2 linked regions of the Rattus norvegicus genome follow. The protein of the gene in region 2 purifies or fractionates together with the protein of the main gene of each other region. This does not show direct contact. Links are inferred from orthologs where the notes say so. Each region holds a gene or a part of one and is shown on either strand. Other genes may lie near its edges.

What was found.
Region 1: the proteins of Pes1 (region 2) and Ddx27 purify together in Homo sapiens (affinity purification with mass spectrometry; 4 studies listed by BioGRID and IntAct, counting the BioPlex papers as one, with this or other methods). This does not show direct contact. The link is inferred for Rattus norvegicus from reciprocal best matches to the Homo sapiens genes PES1 and DDX27.

The regions. Positions count from the first base shown.
Region 1 is NC_086021.1:176,180,201-176,183,050, reverse strand, and holds the end of Ddx27 (probable ATP-dependent RNA helicase DDX27), read right to left. Parts: intron 2,057-2,850; coding exon 1,962-2,056; intron 1,886-1,961; coding exon 1,762-1,885; intron 1,587-1,761; coding exon 1,499-1,586; intron 1,102-1,498; coding exon 1,030-1,101; intron 937-1,029; coding exon 918-936; 3' UTR 633-917; downstream 1-632. UniProt on the Homo sapiens protein: Probable ATP-dependent RNA helicase. Component of the nucleolar ribosomal RNA (rRNA) processing machinery that regulates 3' end formation of ribosomal 47S rRNA.
Region 2 is NC_086032.1:83,072,930-83,076,680, forward strand, and holds the start of Pes1 (pescadillo homolog), read left to right. Parts: upstream 1-1,416; 5' UTR 1,417-1,430; coding exon 1,431-1,454; intron 1,455-3,751. UniProt on the Homo sapiens protein: Component of the PeBoW complex, which is required for maturation of 28S and 5.8S ribosomal RNAs and formation of the 60S ribosome.

The DNA.
Region 1 (2,850 bases), on a different chromosome or scaffold from region 2:
CACCGTCCTAGGCCAATGATTTGTCTCTCTTCCATTCAGTAGCAATAGTGGGTGGGGTACTCCCTATGGTGAGGCATATCACTTTTGGTAAGACATTCCTTAACCCATAGCAAATGTCTCACGAGTCCCGAGACGATATACCCTGTGCCTATTCCTAAAAGTTCAGCACTTTACTGTTTAGAACACATTGTGGTCTTCTCCCAGGGTTCGGGTCCCAGCATGGGGCTCAGGTCAGTCTTGCCTTTGCTGATTGAGACGTCTCACCAGCCCCGCCTTTTAACAGGAGATCCTTCTGCCTGTGGCAGAGCCTGGTCTGACCTGTACCCCAGCCCCAGATGAGCCCTGACTTACTAAACAGCCCGAGTTGGCAAGTGTGAGCAGGGTCTATGCAGCTGGAGAACTGGCTGTGTCCCACAGTAGAATTCCTGCATTTGGTATGTGTAGATCTAGCCAGGAAGGGGAACCCGGCACAGCAGTGCACACCTGTAATCCCATCAATAAATAGAGGCCTAAACCGCAGGCTCCAAGCTAGCCTGGGCTACACACTCAAGATTTAAAAAAGGAGGCATGAATAACACTGGGTGAGTATCTAAGAGCTGTTCCAACAGATCCACAGACAACAGGAGGGTCTGTTGTTTTTAAAGATTTTATTTATGTACGTATGTACATGGTAGCTGTCTTCAGACACATCAGAAGAGGGCATCAGATCCCATTACAGATGGTTGTGAGCCACCATGTGGTTGCTGGGATTTGAACTCCGGTCCTCTGGAAGAACAGTCAGTGCTCTTAACCAGTGAGCCATCTCTCCAGCCTCGGGTTTGGGGTTTCATAAATGGAAAAATTCAGACCAAGACAAGATGACTTCCCACAGGGAAGGGATATAAAATTGTCCCACCAACTTCTTCACACCACTCATACTACTTCTTTCTCTTGTACCTATTAAGGAAATCAACATTAGAACCAGAAGGGAGGACAGTACTGCCTCCCACAGCAGCCTGCCTCTCCAGCCCCTCCAAAGCGCAGCATCACCTGGACTTAGACTTGAAGTTCCCTCTCCTCTGGCGGGGCAGACCTAACTGTTTCCTCTCTTCAAAGGAAGGGCTGTAAGAGAGATGAGGTATGAGCTGGGCAGGCTGTGGGGCATGAGTGACGGCACCCACCCTATCTTGGCTTCGCTGGCCAGCAGAGGAGGGACGAGTGCTGAGAGGAAAGTTTAGCGGCTGGGGCTCAGTCTCCTGTGGGCTTGTACAGAACGACATGCCCTTCTGGAAGTCAGTCGACAACTCAGAATCAGCGGGCAGGCCTTTCCGACCAGCCAGATCAAGCTGTCTATATGAGGAGAGCTCCTGTAGGGAGCACACTAGACCTCCCCTGCTCCTGCTCATCAGGACCTGAGTCACACACAGCATTATGAAGCTCTAGGGAAGAGTTGGGAGTGAGCCTGGATGCAGATGCTTCCGTGAGCAGCACAGAGGCTGAATACAGCACTTAAACCTACCCAGCCCGGTACTGTTTCAGGGCCTTCTTGCTTGTGTTGGTGAGTTCTTCATCAAACACAGACTTCTTGTGCTGCTTCTGCTTCTTGGCTGCACACAGAGAAAAATGGCTCAGAGGCTACTGAGTCCCCTGACACTGAGGGAGAGAATTCCAGAATTCAAGTACACGGATACATCCCAAGTCCTCCAAAGCTTGGTCACTGCCATGCACGCCACCAACACTTGCCCTGGTGCAGGCATCAGAATGGACCTCCTCATCGCTTACCAGGGCCTGCTGCAGGCTCTTCCTCAGGCATTGCCCGTGCTCGCTTGGTTCTGCGGTTCCTCTTGGCCAGCCGCTCTGCAAACATCTGTGCCTTGAGGATTTCAAACTGGGACCTCTCCTCCGCCTAGGAGCAGAGTGAGGGATGAGCACAGAACCAACCAGTGCTCCATGGGACCCTGTGCCACAGGGAGGCCACTCACCGTCATCTCCCCCTTTTTCTTGACGTCCTTCATAAACTTCTTCCTTTTCTTCTTTCCTCTTAAGGCCAAGTCAAACTCCTGCAGAGCCTTGGCAACTGGAATGAAAACAGAGTGGATTTTAGGGGCTGTTTGACTCTGTCAATAATTAAAATGAGAAGTAACTAGGGGGTGACAGCTCACTGAGTAAAGTGCCCTTCAGGGAAGAATGATGGCTTGGGGAGGGTTGCTCAATTATGGTTGCTGGGAGAAGGGGAGTCATACTCCTCAGTGGTGCAGCCACTGGCAAGTTGGCCCTGTTCATTTTTTTTTTTAAAGATTTATTTATTATTTATTTAATGTATACGAGTACACTGTTGCTGTCTTCACACACCAGAAGAGGGCATCAGATGCCATTACAGATGGTTGTGAGCCACCATGTGGTTGCTGGGAATTGAACTCAGGACCTCTGGAAGAGCAGTCGGTGCTCTTAACCACTGAGCCATCTCTCCAGCCCGGCCCTGTTCATTTTAAACTGGCTTCTCGACACAGAGTCTATGTACTCCTGGCTTGCCTGGAACTCAGAGATCCACCCACCTCTGCCACCAGAATCTTGAGATTAAGGGTGAACCCAGCACCCAGAAGCTATTAGATGGGGTAGTGGTGGTGGTAATCTGTTTATAACCCCAATACTGAGGTGGCAGAGAAAGGCTGATCTCTAGGGTTCACTGGCCAGCCAGACTAGGCCCATTTGCTTTGTTCTAGACCAATGAGAGACCCTAGGGCTGGAGAGATGGCTCAGTGGTTAAGAGCACTGACTGCTCTTCCAGAGGTCCTGAGTTCAATTCCCAGCAACCACATGGTGGCTCACAACCATCTGTAATGTAATCCAATGTCTACTTCTGGTGTGTCT
Region 2 (3,751 bases):
AGGTTGACTGGCCAGTGAGTTTAAGGGACCCAATTATCCCATGCCCAATTAGTGATTTCCCTCTCCCTCCTACCAGGTCTGGGATTACAGGCCCCCACCGCAACTTTTGTTTTGCTTTCTCAAGACAGTTTCTTTTGTGGCCCTGGCTGTCCTGGAACTCAGAGATCCACCGGAAGGCCTCTGCCGTCTAAGCGCCTGCGCGCAACAACTGCCCGGCTGTCACTACAACTTTTATGTGTGTGTTGCAAATCTGAACTCACATCCTTATGCTTGCAGTGGAATTCTGTCCACTGGGTCGTCTCCTCAGCTCTGTTTTGTTTTCTCGGTTTCGCTGTTTTGAGACACTATCTCTAGCCCAGACTGGCCTGAAACTTGGGATCTCCCAGCTTCAGACTGCTGTGCGCTGTGATTACAGGCGCCACCAGGGTGTTATGCCTTCTGTTTTCTTTCTTTCTTTCTTTCTTTCTTTCTTTCTTTCTTTCTTTCTTTCTTTCTTTCTTTCTTTCTCTCTCTCTCTCTCTCTCTCTCTCTCTCTCTCTCTCTCTCTTTCTTTTGGGGTGGGGGGGGGAGACAATGTGGCACTTAATACCCTCGCTACCCTGGAACTCACAACATGCATCTGGTTAGCCTCAGACTCAGAGATCCGCTCCTGTGTCTCAACTCATTCCCCAAATTTAAGTGGTTCCTTAGGCCTTTCTATCCGTGTGAGGTAAAAGGTAGCCTTTTGCTCTGTTTTATTCTAACATGAGCAAACAAACTAGGTGCCCCTGAGCCTAAGGCCAACAAGACAAAAACCTGGCCAGCTGGGTTTACAACGCCTAGCAACCGTTGCCATGACAATTCAACCCTTAAATTCACTGGCCAGTCAGTCTAGCATTACAAAAGCTAGTAGCTTTAGATTTAGTGAACATTTCCGGGGGGGGGGGTGTTTGGTTTTGTTTTTAAAGAAAACATCAGCCAGGCGTGGTGATCTGCACCTTTAATTCCCGCACTCTGGAGGCAGAGGCAGTCGGATCTCTGAGTTCAGACCAGACTACAGAGCCCTCAGCATCCCAGAAGGCGTGGGGCTGTCTCCCAGCTTTCAGTCCTGCTGTATCCCGAAATGCACTGGGGCTCGCGTGGTCAAACAACTCTGTCTAGGGTGGTTATAAAACTGCCTAAGTTTCCATGTTGGTTTAAAGCTTGTCTATATAGATTTTGGCAACTAGGAAAAGGACTGAAAGAACTACCACAATTTCTGAGCTTTAGAGACTTTGGTCGTAAATAATGAGGTCACAAAAAGCACAACGTTCTCTGGACATGCACAGGCATATTTTCGGACAGCCCTGAGTTGGCGGCGTGGGGTCCTTCAGGGCCCTAAGCGGGGCACGTGCGGTAGGAAGTAGCTCTGCCTTTCCGCTCCGCTTTCAGGACTTTCTCAACGTGGAGCTATGGGAGGTCTGGAAAAGAAGAAGGTAAGTGGGTTACAGGGGTGGTGGGTGCTTGGACTTGTCACTTTCCCTAGCCTGTGGGAACCGAGAGGTCGTGAGACGGCCGCAGGAGTAAAGCTGCTGCACGCAAGCCCCTGGAAGCCGGAGAACTCTGACGGGCTTTCTGTGGAAGGAGTTGTGAAGACTGACTGAGCTGCCAAACAACAATTAGAGAGTGATCAACGGGACGTAGAATACATCATTACGTCTTAGAAATTTTCTCTGTTGAGCCAGGCCCAGTCCTAGGTACTGGGGATTGAGAAGTAAACAATCAGATGTGGCCCCGCTTTCCCGGTGTCAACCTTTCCCGTTGGACAAAAGTAACCAGATAAAGTGGCTAAAGATTCTTTTTTTTTTTCTTTTCTTTTCTTTTTTTCGGAGCTGGGGACCGAACCCAGGGCCTTGCGCGTGGCTAAAGATTCTTAAGTGCGCTCTAGAGTAAGCTAGGAAGGAGCAGTAAAGTGAAGAGTAGCAACAGACAATTCGATTAGTGTTGTGTTGGAGGTCCTCTTCTGACGTAGCATTTTAGTGGAAATCTGAACAAGCAGAACCCTTTAGATGGGTCAGGGGCATGGAAGTGTTGGGGTATGGGCCTCAACCTTCCCCAAAGAGAATTCTCGGCACTCAGATAAAGGAGAGACTTATAACAGTGTGCAGCTGTAACTTAAAGAGGCCCAGGCTCCAACAGAAGTGTTTCGTGGTTTATATGGGGTTAGGCATTGTCACAATCGTATTTCTTAGTGTGGTCTTTTTCTCCTTACATGTTTTACAGAAGCTGAAATTTCCAGGTTTCTGGTTAAGATAGTTTTATCTTTAGCAATAGAATTTGCTATCTTATGGTATTGGTAGTGGTCACTTCTCAAGGGAGAAAAGCAGGTTTATACCTTTTTTTCCTACAGAAATGGGGAAAGGATGAGCCGGTTAACAAAAGTAGAAGTCAGTACCGTTTTAGCTCTGTTGTCTCAGATTAGAGAGTTTCATCTTCCTGTGCAACCTGGTGCTTACTAAATAAGCTTATTAATCATAATTAATGTGAAAGCTTGCTGGTTTTCTTTTCTCCTTCAGAAGTGCTTAGCAGAGAAAACTGCAGTGGAAACCAAGGCCAGTAGGTAGGAGAGGTTGGCAGTGTGCAGGGTTTTGAAAAAACACCAACATGGCTGTCTAGGTGAGGATGGGGGCTGTGCCATGTAAGGCTTGGAATTTATTCTGAGTGGAGAAGACAGCTAAAGAAAGGGTCTTGATCTGAGTTATTCTTGCTTCTGCAAGGAGACTGTAGGCTCGAAGGGACTTTGGGATAGGATGACTTAGAAGTTTCTGATACCAATCTGTTTTGTTCTTTTTAGTTACTTTTTAAAATTGTTTTTAACTGTCTTTTATTTATCTTTATGTATGACTGCCGTATCTGTATGTGCACCTGTAGGCCAGAATAGGTCATCAAATCTTATTACAAATGGGTGTGAGCCACTGTGTGGTTGCTGGGAATTGAGCTCTCGACCTCTGGAAGTGCAACCAGTGCTCTTAGCCACTGAGCCATCTCCCCAGCCCCTTTAATTATTTTTTTTTTTGAGACTATAATTACATTATCCCCTTTTCCCTTTCTTTCCCTCCAAACCTTTCCATATACTTTGACTTGCTCTCTTTCAAATTCATGGCCTCATTTAAAATGGTTCTTACATACTTATATGTATGTACATATATGTTCCTAAGTGCATAGATATACCTGCTGAGTCTATATACGTGTGTGTGTGTGTGTGTGTGTGTGTGTGTGTGTGTGTGTGTGTGTTCAGGGCTGACCATTTGGTATTGGATAGCTTATTGGTATCCTTTTTCCTGGGGAAGACTATTTCTCCCACTCACAGCATTCCTTAGTTGCCTGCAGTTCTTTGTGTAGGGTTCACAGCTTTTGGGCTTGCTTCCATCCGCGTGAGCAAGTCTGTTGTTCTTGTTCAGCTCATGTTTAGGCAGCCATGTGGCTGAGACAGCTTCTGTCACTCCTAGGATACACATCTCAGCAAACTTTCCTCTGGCACTTAAAGGTTTTCAGTTCCTTCTTCCACAGTGCCCCTGAGCCTGAGGTGTAGGAGTTGTTTTGTAGTTATATTCATTGGGATTGGGCTTCACAACTCTGTGTTTTGATTGGTTGTGGTTTTCTGTAATGGTCTCTATTGCAAAGAAGTTTCTTTGTCGAGAGGTAAGGACTACACATCTCTGGGGTCTAAGGACACATACTTAGAACGTAGTCAGGGATTATGCTGGTTTATGAAGTGATGGTTGTAGGTTCT